Arabidopsis thaliana: one gene and its partner. The protein of the gene in region 2 interacts with the protein of the main gene of each other region in a pairwise test. Each region holds a gene or a part of one and is shown on either strand. Other genes may lie near its edges.

Region 1 (8,675 bases), 1.7 Mb from region 2:
TAGGAGCCGTGCTTAAATCACCTCGGCCTTAAATCTTTTCTTCTGGTTACTTAGTAGTAAAGTTGGTGTAAAAAAAGCTTTAGGAAGGTTTTTTATTCGTTTATGCAATTCTATAACATTTACTCTTGGTTTTGAAGTATGTCAAATATGGATTTTCGAGGTTAACATAAGATCTATCTTCTTTTAGCTTCCATATCAAAATCACAACACCAAAAGTATACAACTTGTATTTAAAAAATCATTAGTTGACTAATTAACATGGTTTCTACCAATAAAGAAAAGATAATCACTATTTTAATAACTCTAAATGTGCTTTTGTGTTCTGACAAAAAGATATGAATAGTAAACAAAGTAAGATGGGTTACTTAGTACTATTCTATTACACCAAACAAAATCGTATATAGTTTAATGCAGATATTTATGAATTTGCAGAGAGACACCTCTTTTGATTCTGTTACATACTAATAATAAATTACATAATGTTTTTAAGGATTGGACCCAATATGTTTTAACAATCGTCTCACGTTGTCTCATTTTGTGCCACTAAAAAAATACAATTGTTTATATTAAGGATTCTCTCCGACAATGTAGGTCATCATTCGTATTTATTTTGCTTTTATGCATTTGTTGCCTTGTTCCTGTTTGACTATCATATACCCTACGCAATTTTATAAGTTTTTTCTATCAATGTATTAAGTATTTGGTGTGGTCAGAAAATATTCATTACTCATCGTATTTAATTTGATAGGAACTATACCATATCTTTTTAGTTGGCCCCAATTTGCTTGAGCGTAGATAACGTTAAATACAATCTGGGTCAGATTCTGTCATGTCCACAATTCACGTCTATAGGAAAAATAAAAATATAGATCTATAATTTTGTTTTAATCCCTTAGAAATTTGTTTCTTTGAGGTAAAATTACACTCAAGCTTAAACAATTACTTGTTTTTTTTTTTTTTTTTATCTTTTTGAGCTGTTTGACTAAGCCTTACATATTTTTGTAAGATTTGGATCAAACACTTCTAAATCTAATCCGAACCCATAATAATTGAAAGTAGTATATTGGGTAATATATATAATTTGTCTACACTAAATTACACATATTGATATCGCCAAATAATTTGGTTGATCCGCTTGTTGTGGATGGTATACGTTTCCTTCGGGTATTTTTGCCATTAAGATGATTTTTTATACTAACATTAAACATAGCCATTTTAGCCAAAACATAGCCGAACCCACGTGAATTACTAATGATCTTGCATGCCTTTAAAAAATCTACAATACTTTTAATGATATTGTAAATCAGATGATTACATTTCATCATAAAAGTATTTTTGTGTTCAGAAAATTGTCGATTGAAGATAATGGTATTCTTAATATATTCTTAAAAAGAAGGATAATGATATGTTTAAAGAAGGAAACATGTGAGCTTTTAGATTACTGGTAAAGGCATAGGATACGAGTCATAGGAAAGGGCCATTTTTGGAATATTATGAATAATAAATTTAGTTTCTTTAAGACATGACATCTTTACTGAATATTATTACATTACCCGGAACGGTAGATAGACTTAGAGATTTGATTTGACAGAACAGAAGATCGGGAATCTCTTATTTTTCTTTTAGCTTGACAATTGGCATAACAACTACACCATTTTCTTTAAGTTTTTTGTTGACTATATAACAAAAAACCAACGTAGCCCAAAAAAAAGTAGTTCGAATGTTTCGTCCTTGTTTTTAAAAAGTACTAAATTTTTACAAATATCCTAGGATCTTCGTCATTTGTGGACGTTTCGGTTTAATGACTTACCGTTAACCATTTGACTAAAAATATTTCCTAATTATTTGTTTAGTTGATATAGTTTAGAAAATACAGAGCATCTAATCTATTCCAAAAGTTTAAACCATATTATGCATGACTCACTGAATAGTTAAGTACAATACATTTCACACGTGACTATAGAATAAGCATTTAGATTTGGCACTATATCCGAATATGTATACAAATAAGAATGTAATGTTTTTGCCAAATCGTTTCGGGGTTCCGAAGAGGCAGCCAAAACCTATCACTATCTCTCTTTACTGTTCTTTTCAACAGTGTTATTTTAATCAAAATATCTTATACTATCAAACCTTCACATAAAACGACAAAACTTCATCCTCATATTTTATTTTTTGTTACAAATTGTACCTTCCAAATTTCAAGAGTCCTCTTACCAAAAAAACATATTTTCACATAAACAAACCTTATTAGGTAAAGACATTTTGAGAAGATTTAAAATTTACCACAAACATACACATTTTTTTTACCATTTAGTTGATAAAGTTTTTTCTCAACAAACCAAATTTTGATGTAAAAAAAAACACATTTTCTCATCTGAATTTGGAAAAATTGATCATTGTATGTGAAAAATCTAAAACCCAAATGACATTTTTGAAAGGGGACTAGAGTGTTGAGAGAGAGAGAGATGGTAAAAAAACTCTCATATGTCCCCTTACAAGTTAAGGGTGTGGATAAAAGTAACCACGTGTTGCATTGTCATTGGGAGGTTGTGGCCGGAAATGTGAGAATCCTGATGATGCTGCTGCAACTGAGAACAATGGTGGTGGTTGTGGTCCCGGTGGCTGCGGTCTCACGGCGCTTGTTTGCCCCGGTCTCTGCCATCCCCAGTTACTCATCATCCCTTCAGCTTCACTTCTCTTTTCTGTTGCTCTTCCCTGAAAAAACAAACATTGTTTCATTGTCTTGCGACTACATTGTGTTGTTTCACTTTGATTCTATGTTTTTACCTCGGCGGGATTATTATAACTCGGGCATGCTCCGTTCCAGTAAAGGCGATGATCCGAGGATCCATAAGGAAGAGGTGTATTCACCGGCTTTCCCATGTATTCGTTATCTATCTGCAGTTTGTTTAAAAGACGATAAGAAACGTACGTTTTGAATTCATGAGAGATTGGTATTTGAAAGTTAGTTACCCTCAAGCTAACTCCACGCTGAGTTTCATAAGTATTAGAAGGGAAGTGAAAGAGCCTCCCATTTTGCTTTGGCGCATTACCGGTCGATAAAGAGATTCCCAAGTTGAGGTCAATCTCAGAGTTATTGCTCTCAGAGTTAATCTCATTTTGGTATGAACTCATCTCGAAGTTCGTGACTGCTTCTCTACCATTAGTGTTGATTGCAGCCTTGTCATAAGCCCTGTTGTCAAGAAAATGTTTAGAAAGAAAGAAACTTCATGTTGGCTTTGATAAAAACAAAGTGAAGTTCTACTAAAGGTTTCTATCAAACAATGATCATTAAGGAACCTTGCAGCTTCTACTTCGCTGTCGAACAGCCCAAGATAAATATACCTGCAATTCAAGCATCTTAATCACCTAACCACTACTTAGACACCATTCCTAGTTTCATACCCTTTCTAAAATCAAAAAGTTCATATTAAAGAACAAAATTGCTCACTTTTTACCAAGAAACTGCCCCATCCTAGCTTCCCATCTACCACATTTGTGTAACGTAACCCCTCGATACTTCGAACTCCCCCGCGAAAACCCCGTGCTCTGTCTACGCAGTATATGCACAAACTCTTCCTTACTCAAGTTTTGTACCTAAACAAGAAGATAACACAGTTAAAAAAAAAACTACTCAAAACAATCATATAACCAAAACAAAAGACTTATATCCAAAAACCTGTTTCATATCTTCCTCATAATCACCAAGAGTAAAGTTGATATCAGCATCAACACCTCTAAATTTAATAGCAGCTCGATCATAAGCTCTACAAAAACACAAACACTAATCAAAATCCAAACCTTAACAATTCCGAAAACAAAACTTTTATCTATAATAATCCAAAAATTACCTAGCTGCAGCATGAGCAGTGTCGAAACCACCTATATAAATCAACAACCATGAATCAATAATCTTAATCATCAAAATTTTAACAAAAATTGTAATTTACCTAAATAAACTTGTTTCCCACAATCCCTACAAAACAAAAAAAAATTGAATCAATCTCACTGATAAAAATTACTAAATCGAGAAACTTGTATTATCATCAACAACAAAAAAAAAAAACTTACCAAATATGTGACTCCCATCGACCAGTTCTTCTATAAAAAGTAACTCCTCTATACTGTGAACTTCTAGACCTTGGTCCTCTCCGACTCTTTTTAACCTGAGCCGGAACCGGAGCCGGAGTCGGAACCGGAGTTACCAATTTCGTTTCTCCGTCACCAATACGGTCAAAAGAAAGATCTATCCAGTTTCTAGAGCTTGATGATCCTTCAACATCTCGTAGATGTCCACAGTCTCCACTCACCGGAAAAAACTCTTTAGTAACGGAAGCTGAAGCGGCGGGGCTTTCGTCTCCGCCGCTACTACTTCCGACTTTTAAAATATCGAAACTGAGAGTGAAAGCTCGAGTAGAGCAAGAGTCTTCGTCTCCATCGGCATTGATAACTGACGACGTCGATGTACCGGACTCTTCCACTCGATTCCCGGCGGAGTTGTCTGATGTCTGCCGATCTAAGTATGAGTCACCACCGTACTGAGTCGACTCGGGAGAATCAGCGTTGAGGTTAAGATCCAACATCTCAAGCTCTGAAAATTACAAATCTAGCGAAGGTGATGATGAAGGAATCAGTTGTTAGAGATCGTCTTCTACAGCAACAACGATTACATAATCACATAATCTCTCACGAAGAGCTCGAGATGATCGGGAGGAAGAAGAGAATGGAGAAGAATTTAGAGATTACGATGGAGGAATGGTGAGAGTAGAGAAGTTTTGTCGCCGGGAAATGTTACCGGCGGCGAGAGAGTGAGACGGATATTTTTTTTTTTTAAAGTGGAGAAGAAGATAGAAGGAGACGTGTGAGGGAACATTTCAGACCCAATTTTAGAGGATGATCATTATTTATAATAAAGTTGTTTTTCTCTCTCTGTAACTATAAATGTGTATAATAACTTTATAATAAAATTTTAACATATTGTTGTTGGTCCTTTTTTGGCAGTGGTATACCGGCTAAGTAAGTTTCCGGTTTTTTTTTTTTTTTTTTTTGCCGGTACGTACTGCTTTTGGTCAATGCTTTGGTTTTCAAAGGAGACAATACAATACATGAAATGAAACATCAACTTTTAGTTCCGACCAAAACAAGAGTAATGATCGCTGCAGTATTGTTTTTTTTAACCCATGCTTGTTACATTAGATTTTTGTAGGTGTAGTTGATTCGTTAATGTTAACAAGAGTAAAATGTGATTTGGTTCGTGTGTTACATGTTTTTTCACGTCGTTTGGTTTGGGTTTTGGGGTGACATAGTGTTGATTGCATGAGTTAATTAGGAATGTACGTTGGTGTGTTTTGAGATTGAGTGTGTGCACCAATTTGGCTTGATGGATATTGGTCCAAGTATGCCATTAGAGGATGGGATGTTGGACTTGGACATGGGCAGATGGTATTTGAGTCATAGGTCTAGGATTAGTGGATTGGTATTTTTGATTAGTGTATATGACCGAGGTGTTATTATAGTGCTAATCGTATGAGTGAACGGTTGTTGTATTAACCACTACTTATATGGTTTTGTCCGCGATGTCTTTAGCTCTTGTAGTTTCCTCGTCCTTGATTTTAATGTCCTATGATAAGCATATTGTTGTAGAATTGTGGGTGATGAGTATGACTTATGTTTGACTTTGTATGCTACCATGAGAGCATTGATCATGCCTCAGTGAAGCGGGGGATGGTGATTGATGACATAGATGATGTTGTCAAACTTTCCCGAAAATTCGCTCAGAAGATTCATCGCCAACACGTAGTCAACTACGGTAGAATCGACATTTACTAGAAAATCACATAATATAAATTTTTTTCTTGTAATTTTGCATTTAGTAATCTGCCGTTATTAATATCTTCGAAAATCAAATCTCAAAAGGTTATTATCTAGAACTTTTTTAATAAGAAAATTAAAAGTATTGTTCTTTTTAGTTATTAGTTGAATATTTGCCATTTTTGATATAGCATTTGGTATTCAGGTTATGTCGAATCATTTGACTAGTACTAGTTTTGGAAGTGAACATGTCTCTTCGTAAGAAGTAGCCCACATGCAATGTTTTCATTCATACGGTATAATTGAATCTACCATTGTAGCGTGTTGCATTTTTGTCCCGAGTATTGATACAACTATATTATCACAGCCCATATTATTATTTGATTGATGTATCCACTTTTAATAGATCTAATTATGGTTAATCGTTTCTTTTAGTTTGAGAATAGCATGAAATTTTTCCGGTCTTAAATGGTTCGGATTCAAGTTTAAACTCTGTCCATAATACATACTTACATAGACTAAAATCCAGTAAAAAAATCACACTTTTTCAGAGCATCAGATTTGATACCTTCTTTAACAAAACCACAAATATATAAAAGAATAATATATCAATTACCATTGATGTATCACCCACCACATAGCAAGATTGAGATCGAGAAATTGAGGATTTAGGGTTAATAGCATACATCTAAAACATGCGATTGCAAGCTCTCTTTCTTGGACGGCATTGTACTAACGATTGGGATTGGTCAATAAGGTATAGGTCAGTGATCCAACGGCTGGGATTTACTCAAATATAGAGAATATCTGTCTTAACGCTAATCTTAAAAAAAAGATTAGGCTTCATTTGATCAATAAGATATTATCTACGGTGTTATCCTTATTTCATAGTCTCTTACATGTGCATGAAGAACACGTGATTCTCTCATTATTTAACAACTTGTGTATTGTATATAGTTTTGTTTTCTTCTGTTTTCTCTTTCTCGTATGTATGGATTTTTATTTTATGTGGACAACGTTACTTTACATTATGTAGAGTAAAAATTACATGTACACTTTAAACTCCAAGTTTTTTATTCTTGAAAATAATATATGGATCTCAAACTTGAACAACAATGTACAAAGATGCATAAAAAATATATTATTTCATTTGGATGATTTTCTAGCTCTAGAACCTAGGATAAATTGAATACTAAAAATGCTACAACGAGAAACACTTTAACCCGAGCTTAATCAATAGTTGATGTCATATAGTTGTTTGCCTATTGCTTATTTGTTTTTCTTGCATGGTCGTTTGTTCACTTAGTTTTCTTTATATTGATTAATGATTGAGAAACCATAATCGACTATTTTGATAGTTTTGCTTAATTCATCTATGAAATATGATGTGCAATCAATTGATCTTTAGTGGCTCGATACTTATTATAGTACCACGACATAGCCAACCGTATGAGGATCATCAATGCATAGAAGTTTAATGTGGGAGACTTGTGTCTCTATTCGTTCATATGTCACATTTTTATTTATGTGTTGATAAAAGAGAGAAAAATCACTAAATAGAGATAGTATAAAAGGATTAATCAAATAGTAACAGACTAGCTTAATCATTTATCAAAACATATAATTTATAAATTATGATAATTGTATCGTTAGTGATTTGATTCCTAGCTAAAATTACCAATCATGCAAGGAATAGTTATAAACAAAGCTACTTGTTTGTATCATTAAAATATCTGGAGATCTTAAAAGAAAGCAATGTAGACACCTTGCCGACAGGGAAATATACAAGTGGAAAATTAAATGTTCATTGTTTAACATAAATAGTTCGAAGATGAATATGGTTAATTTATTTCAATTGGATGCGGTTGTTGAAATAATATTTTCTAGGATGCAGTTGCTGAAAAAATTTATGTTTAGGGGTTGTGACTTGTGATTCGATGACTATACATTTGAGGAAACAAATGAATAATCTTTACCAAAATTCTTACAATATGTCAACAAGTCAATCAATTTTTAATTAAGAATTTTTTTTTACAATATGTTAAAATGTTTTTATAAGGTGCTATTGAGAAATTTTAAAACTTTACCGAATGTTTTGGAATGAGTCTTAAAAACACATCTTCGTTAATTTTAGCAAAAACTTAAACATTAGAAGGGAAAATATTGCAAATTCTTACTACTATATATTTGCCAAAACAAAATGATGTTATAATTCAAAAAATGAGGCAAGTGGTTGAAATATTTGACAAGAAACTAATAAATACATGTTTTACCAATAAAATCTATGGTGTAGATTTGTTTCGTTACATGGGAAAAGCCACAATGTAGACACGCACTTCTTCCACACATTTTCCCTAAAGATCCTCCCACATTAGTTGGCTCCCATGATTTTGACATTTCCTATCATTATGTATCCCATTCACTCCACAACATTGTTTGTTTCTTCAATATACAGTACTCCTATATTTACAAATTCTTTTTAAAAAACCATTGTTATGTATTACTCCACTATTTAGGTACCCATATTTTAGGACGGCAGTATTCTCAAAAAAACGGTACGACCAAATACTTATCTTTAGTTTTCATGCGTTTCATGAGTACTACATCGTACTTTCCGTTTTAAAAGTAATATCACAGTACCAATTGTTTTCTTCAAATATATATAATTGACCCCATCCTTATTAAACAAAGCCTTTTGTTTTCAATTGAAAATTTGATTTTTAACAGTTCTATCATTACCATTCGGATAGATTTTAAGTTACATCATATGCCATTTTTTTTTACAGAGTGTTTTAGCAAGAACGGTTCTTTGAATATAAAGAAGATCGATAAACTAAAATAGAGAAATTTTAAAATCTGTT
Region 2 (6,820 bases):
GAGTGTAAAAGCTTCTTCAGACTTTAACGGTAACAGAGCATCGTCGTCATGTACTCAGCTTCGTACTGTCAAAATGTCGACTCCAGCTCACGCTACACTCCAATTGAAGAATAGCTTCACAGTCCTTGAATCTCCAGCCATGTGCAGATGAAGACACTTGTCATTCATCAAAACATTTACTAAAACTCTAGTTCAACCATTGTATCCCTTAGCTTTTCATATAAATAGATAAAGCTATGTAATGAGAAGGTTAAGAATGAGAATATAACTTTGAGTATTTCTTCTCTGTTTACAAGAGTAGTACTTGTCATCTCTTGAAAACCCCTTCTCAATTCAGTTAATTAGAAGAAAAAAAAAATTCAATTTATAAAATGTAGGAAATTATTTTCATATATTTTGGTTTAGTTTCACCTAATGTCACAAAAAAAAAAAAAAAAAATTCCATATGGTTGAGAATTTTGAAGCCATTTATCTCGGAAGTTCAGATTTTATGTAGAAATTGCTACCAAATAAAATGATAAATTTATACTGAATTTTATTAGTAATAGCATATTTTGTACAATATGTTTTGAATGTCAAAATCGGTTGGTTGACATCCGAAAATGGTGATATATTTTTCTCCTCCTATTGACACAAAGAATAATATTATCTCAATAATATTTCAATGAATTGTAGAATTTCAATGTCATTGATCCCGACAGTTCACAATTCATTTGGACATTGCTACCATTACTTAAACTGTTAATTACAATATATCATGATAAATTTAAATTTTAAAATAATGGCATACTTAGTTTTATCTCTTATGTATATACTTATTTTAAAAATATTAAGTTGATCCCCGCATATATTTTTAGATCTTGTCGTCACAATATTACATAAAGTTTTTAACCTCTCAAAGGCTCTAGCTTTCAGCTCTTTGTCATTGACACCAACTCACGAAAAACATATCACGCAAAGTATGGAGAAGAATAAGAGGAAATAACAGAGTAGAAGAAAGGGAGAAGAAGAGAGAAGCACACAAATATTTGTTCACCTGGTTCACGGTATTAACGAACCGCTACGTCCGGTTATGATCTTTCTTTCGATCCACATCTTTCCACTATGAAGAAGAAGGTGACTACAAGAGTTATAAGTCAAAGCTTAAGTGGAACAGAGACTTAACTGCTGGGCCACAATAACATTGTTGTGAATTGATAGTGATAATAAAACTAGAGCTTCTTGTGCTAAAGTAAACCTTAAAGGTTGCATCTTGAAACGCCAAACGTGGCTGCTTGAAACACAAGATGAGAAGACTGTCCTAACTTGTGCCAGCCCTTGCAACATCGTGGACACCCTCCTTTATGATCCAAAAGCATTTAACTCAACCCAAGTTCAACTTATATTAACTTGAGTTAGCTTTAAACTTGCTTATCAAGTTCATATCTTCACAGTTTTGATTTGCGGTTTCTGACTTCATTCAAAATTTTATTATGATGATGTTATGTTCCTTTGTTTGCTAAGAGTCTGAGAATCGATTCATTATGAAAACTAGAGTATGCATATGCCAACACTTTTCGAATCATTTGATATGACAATCATTGAAGACGTATGGTCAGTTTTACGCAAACCAATTGATATGAAGTGATATTTCGACACTTTATGAGTAATGACGACGAAAAATGATTAGATTATCTAATACTTGAAAGGGTTCTCCTTCAAGGTTATACCATTTACTAAAAGAGAATTAGTGGTTTGTTATTTTAGAATATGTAGATTTCTTCTTCTTTTGTGTTGCTTTCGTTTGATTAAGTTTTTTCTCATGTTTGAATTTTCATTAATAACTAAATATCTTAATGTTTGGTTTCTTTGCACAATTTTTCTCTTCTAAGGAAACTTGAGAGCAATTACGAGCACATTCTACTTTGATTCCTTGGAATAAGGTTGTTTGGTTCAAGAATGCAGTGCCAAGGTATTCTTTCATCACTTAGCTTGCATTGAAAGGTAGATTGCTTAAGAAAGACAGGCTCATAAGTTGGGGACTGAATATCTCTGCAGCTTGTGTGCTTTGCTCTAACGGTATCGAAACCCACAACCACCTCTTCTTTAAATGCTCTTTCTCTTCAACCGCGTGACAAGTTTTTGCTTCTCGAATCTGGCCTCGTTCACCATCAACGTTGGCCTCCATCGCCTCTTGAATTTTGCAGTCTCGGACACCACCACAGCTGATTGTATGAGTTTGTGTTCTATATGAATGTTAATCTTAATAGCTCAACTCATTTATTTTTGCATATCGATTTCTTACAGAGATTGTAAATCAAAATTTATTAGTTCAACATTAAGTAAACTATATAATTTAGGATACAATTGTGAGAATTAATTCAAAAAACAACAATCTTCTAACAATAACTTAGCCCCTGATTAAATCAGGAAACATTTTAGTTTTAATTATCCTTAATCTGCTATTAACCGATATACTACTACCATGTTTCTTTCACCGGAAAATATCAGAAACTCGGAACAACACCGAATCCGCCATAAACTCCGACGTCTCCACCATCATTCTCTCTCGAATCTGTTCTCTTAGCAAAACGTCCTTTGATTCTCGGCCTCATCTCAGCGTAAGCTTTACGCGACGCATACCTAATCGTCTTCTCAAATTTCCGATTCTTCCTCTTCTCTCTATACCTCAAAACCCTTGCTTCCCTCTCCGCCGGTGATAACTGCACAGCTGGCGTCTCCGTGTTCGTCATCTCCGCCGTCACTCCTCCACTTTCAGGCACCAACGGTACATCTATCGTTCTCGTCGAAACCTAACAACATTTCACAAACTCAAATCAGATCCAAACTTTCAGATCTAGATCTGAAAATTTTCCAGATCCATGGAAGCTTAAGAAGATAGAGAGAGATTCGTACAGTTTGGTTGATGAAATTGAATCCTTGTTGAGAAATTTTGGAAGCAGAGAGATCGAAATTGAAGTAATCTTCGTTAAGAAACAACTTATTCTGCACAGGAACAACTCCGTCGTTACCGGAGCTATTCTCCTCCGACGTTACCTCAATCTTCGGATAATCAAGATCGGAGAACAAATTAGTGATTTCGATTCCTTCTTTAGCTAAAAGCCACGAAGCAGTGACGTCACCGCCATCTTCATCTACGAAATTGACGGAGGAGGAAGCGGATTTTGCTGGACCTACAGCGTCGTAGAAAGGAGTGATTGGTACGCGCTCGTGGCGGCGAGAGAGTGGATTAGCTGAGTGGATATCACGGTCGCACGTGACGCATAACGCAGCGGCGTCAGCTTTGCACGTGACGTGTGCTGGTGCTTGTTCGCATACTTCACATAGCCAAACTCGTTCGTGACGTGATGCGAGTTTGTTAGCTGTGTGGATCTTACCGTCGCAGTCGCCGCAGAGAAACGCGGCGTCTGCGCGGCAGAATAGAGTTGCTGCCGTCGATTTGCACGAATCGCAAAGTCTTGACGACGACGCCATTGATGCTCTCTATATCTCTCTCTACTGTTTTTTTTGTAGAGAGAGGGATAATAATGGAGTCGGCTTTTTTTTTGTATTGACTCTTGGTGTTATGGAAGTGGCGATTGTACCGGACGCGCAGGGAGTGAAGTGGGTCATGGAGATCTGGGAATAGCGAATAGAGAGATGACACGTTAGTGAATCTTAGCCGAATAGTTGGAGTTTACGAGACATTTAGGAGAAGTGGGGCTAATCATGTGAAGGTGTATTAACTTGGGTTCATGTTCTCACGGACTTTCACAAAAGGAATGGAAAGTTCCTTCTTTTTGTCGGCAAGGAAATTCGAATTTACCCATGGTTACTTAATAGTTAATAATTACCGTAGATGCTATGTAGGCCTGGGACTAAAATCCGTTATCCGCGGGTATTCGAATCCGGATCCGTGATCCGATCCGGAAAACCGAATAATTAGGTGCGACGGATCCGGATACGAGTCCGGCGGATCTGGATACGAGTCCGGCGGATCTGGATACGAGTCCGGCGGATCCGGATACGGATCCAGATTATGAAAAAAATCAGAGCCGAATATCCGCATCCGTTCAATATGTCTACATATTTGTATTATGGGCTTAAGTTATATTTGTATCCTGGGCTTAATCAAATACACATTATCAATGTTAAGCCCAATAGTCCAATATTAGCCCACTACGACAAAATGATGGAATTTGAGTTTGTTTGGGACTTAACTATTAGGGTTTCATAACATATTTTTTCTGCCGCCGTGAATGTTTCCTTCATCACCATTTCCTTCACTATCTCCATCTCATCTCCATGTAATCTTCATCACCGTCTCCCCACCATATTCATCTCGGTTCCACCGTCGTAAATTTATGGACGGAAGTTTACTTACGGGAATGATGATACATGGGATTCAAAGTGTCGATGGCGGAGATGAATGAGGAGGAGCAGATTGGACACCGTTAAAGACGAGATCTTGGTGGTATGTGCCTTGCAAAGTCTGATGTCGGGCACACGTCGATCTCTTTTGGTGGTGAATTCAATCTGGTTGGTGAAATAGGAAATTGAATTTGTTCCCAAAAATAAACGGATCTCGAATATCCGCGGATATCCGGTTTTTTCATGGATATTCGAAATCCGGATATCCGAGGTTTACGGATCCGGATGCGGATCCTAAAACTACATATCCGCCGGATACGGATACGGATCCAGATACTCCAAAAAACCCGGATATCCGGATCCGTAGCAGGCCTAATGCTATGTACAGCCTTTTGTTTATGACTAGAAATCGTAATTTTTATTGAGTTACGATAATAAAACAAATTTGTTTAAGTTAATTTGCTCAACACCCGCCATATAAAAGATTCTATGGTAAGATCAAGAAAGAGAGCCACCGTCAAGTTACATTCTCTAAACGCCGAGCCGGACTCTTTAAGAAAGAGCTTCACAAATCGCTTGTGTTTTGTTTTGGTAGCATACTAGCATTATTAGCAGGAAAGTTAATCAAATAGCTTAGGCTAGTATCTTGCTAGTTCTATATATTCCTTGCAAATTATTTTTGCCTCTTTGAAAACATTAAAAAAAAATCTTACTATCTACTAAATGGCATAATAGTGTCAACAATTTTATCATTAATTAAGGAGCAGACAAATTACATAAATTAGGACTTCTAAAACCCCAAACGTTTGAGCTTCTGAATCCAAGTCGGCAAAAACACCACTTGGAACCAATTCAGTGTTTCGTCTGGAATCAGTTCAATATTTCATGTTAAAAAGTGATGATATTACCCCTTATGGGTCTCAATCAAAAATCTGTGTTGGGTTTTTTCTTTCAGAATGAAACAAAACAACAAAAAGAGAATATTAAGTGAACATGTCATTGATATTAACTCTTTAAGATGAAGAACTAAGATAAAAAAAAGATACTAAACAAACCAATAAGTAAAAATGATCAAAGTTACACTCTTGAGAAATGTGACAGATTGGTGTATGACGATGATTTTAGCCACTTCCCGACTTCAATGTATTACTCAACCTGAAGATCAAGATGGAAATGAGAGAAGAATATTTGAGAAGAAATGCATAAAGAAATGGGTTCAGTGTTTCAATAATGGGACCAAGAAAATGGTTCGGTTTCAGAATGTGCTTACCAGTCCAATCCCTCGAAAAGTCCCTCGCCTTTCACAGCACAAGTTTTGAAGATTGCCCATTGACGACTCTTTATCTTATGCAACTCCAAGGCTTCTGTAACAGCCGCATCATCGAGTGCACCGGGAAGATCCTAAATTAAGTCGATTTAATGAAACTCAGACCAAATAGTTATAGATTTTTCATCAGCAAAAAAGTGTCTTGTGCATGCAAAACAAACTAAAGCTTTTTAGCAACAGAAACCAATACAGATTTCCAGATGAATCAGCCCAAACTAATCGGAAGAGCAAACATTTAGAGACTACTAACCTGCTTGTTTGCAAATATCAGAACCACCGCACCTTTCAATTCATCTTCCTATAAAACATAGTTGAAAAGATAGTGCGAGTTAAATGCTGACAGTGGCAGAGGTAAACTCAAGTAAGCATTGTTGCTGAGAGTTTAAGATTAGCTAGCAAGATCTACAGAGAGAAATGATCACTTGTTCTTTCCGTCCAGTACTAACCGAGATACTTCAATTTCAGTATCACCTATTAGAAGGCTAACAATACTTGATATACAACTTACAAGCATCTATAACAAGTCCTAAACAAGAAACTGAACCAATATTGTATTTCCATTCAACTACCGATATACATCATCATCGTTTTACCTCAATTACTTTTGGATGCAAGAAGTCCATCACAAAATAATACAACAGTATAAGAAGAGGAAGCCTCAGCAGTACTTTACCTCTAAAATTGCATGAAACTCCTCTTTCGCCACCCCGATTCTATCTGTATCACTCGAGTCAACAACATAGATCACTGCTTGTGTATTCGGGAAATAGCATCGCCAGTATGGCCTGTCAAAAATACCATTAGAAAATTGGGCAAAACAAAAACAGTATAATCTTGATGGAGCATTTCTGTTCTTCATTCCTTCACAGTAGATGCAATATGTTCATCATATCTAGAAATGAGAAACGAGGTCATTAAGCTACCTGATGCTTGTTTGTCCACCTGTCATAGGAAAGTTCTTGTTAATGTACTGTGTCGCTGAACCAATTTTGTAAAATGCAAAAGCATTCGCATATAACTAACAAGACAGATGTACATACAACACGTGCAAAACAATAATAATAATAAAAACTATAGGAAGAAGATGTGATAATACAGAACTCTTTATCACCCAAATTTGAATACAAAGAACTTCATCTATCT

The links.
Region 1: the proteins of COL3 (region 2) and RAP2.7 interact in a two-hybrid assay, tested with the Arabidopsis thaliana proteins (one study listed by BioGRID).

Annotation. Positions count from the first base shown.
Region 1 is NC_003071.7:12,223,666-12,232,340, forward strand, and holds RAP2.7 (uncharacterized protein), read right to left. Parts: upstream 4,960-8,675; 5' UTR 4,587-4,959; coding exon 4,075-4,586; intron 3,980-4,074; coding exon 3,954-3,979; exon of another isoform or gene 3,926-3,953; coding exon of another isoform or gene 3,886-3,925; coding exon 3,855-3,885; intron 3,771-3,854; coding exon 3,683-3,770; intron 3,601-3,682; coding exon 3,455-3,600; coding exon of another isoform or gene 3,451-3,454; exon of another isoform or gene 3,349-3,450; coding exon 3,304-3,348; coding exon of another isoform or gene 3,197-3,303; coding exon 2,977-3,196; intron 2,902-2,976; coding exon 2,791-2,901; exon of another isoform or gene 2,719-2,790; coding exon 2,503-2,718; 3' UTR 1,991-2,502; downstream 1-1,990.
Region 2 is NC_003071.7:10,563,613-10,570,432, reverse strand, and holds COL3 (CONSTANS-like 3), read right to left. Parts: upstream 3,598-6,820; 5' UTR 3,475-3,597; coding exon 2,896-3,474; coding exon of another isoform or gene 2,812-2,895; exon of another isoform or gene 2,810-2,811; intron 2,793-2,809; coding exon 2,487-2,792; 3' UTR 2,288-2,486; downstream 1-2,287. Other genes in the region: AT2G24780 (uncharacterized protein), read left to right, coding at 4,594-4,752; ARF3 (ADP-ribosylation factor 3), read right to left, coding at 5,472-5,505, 5,621-5,751, 5,928-5,975, 6,351-6,462, 6,601-6,619.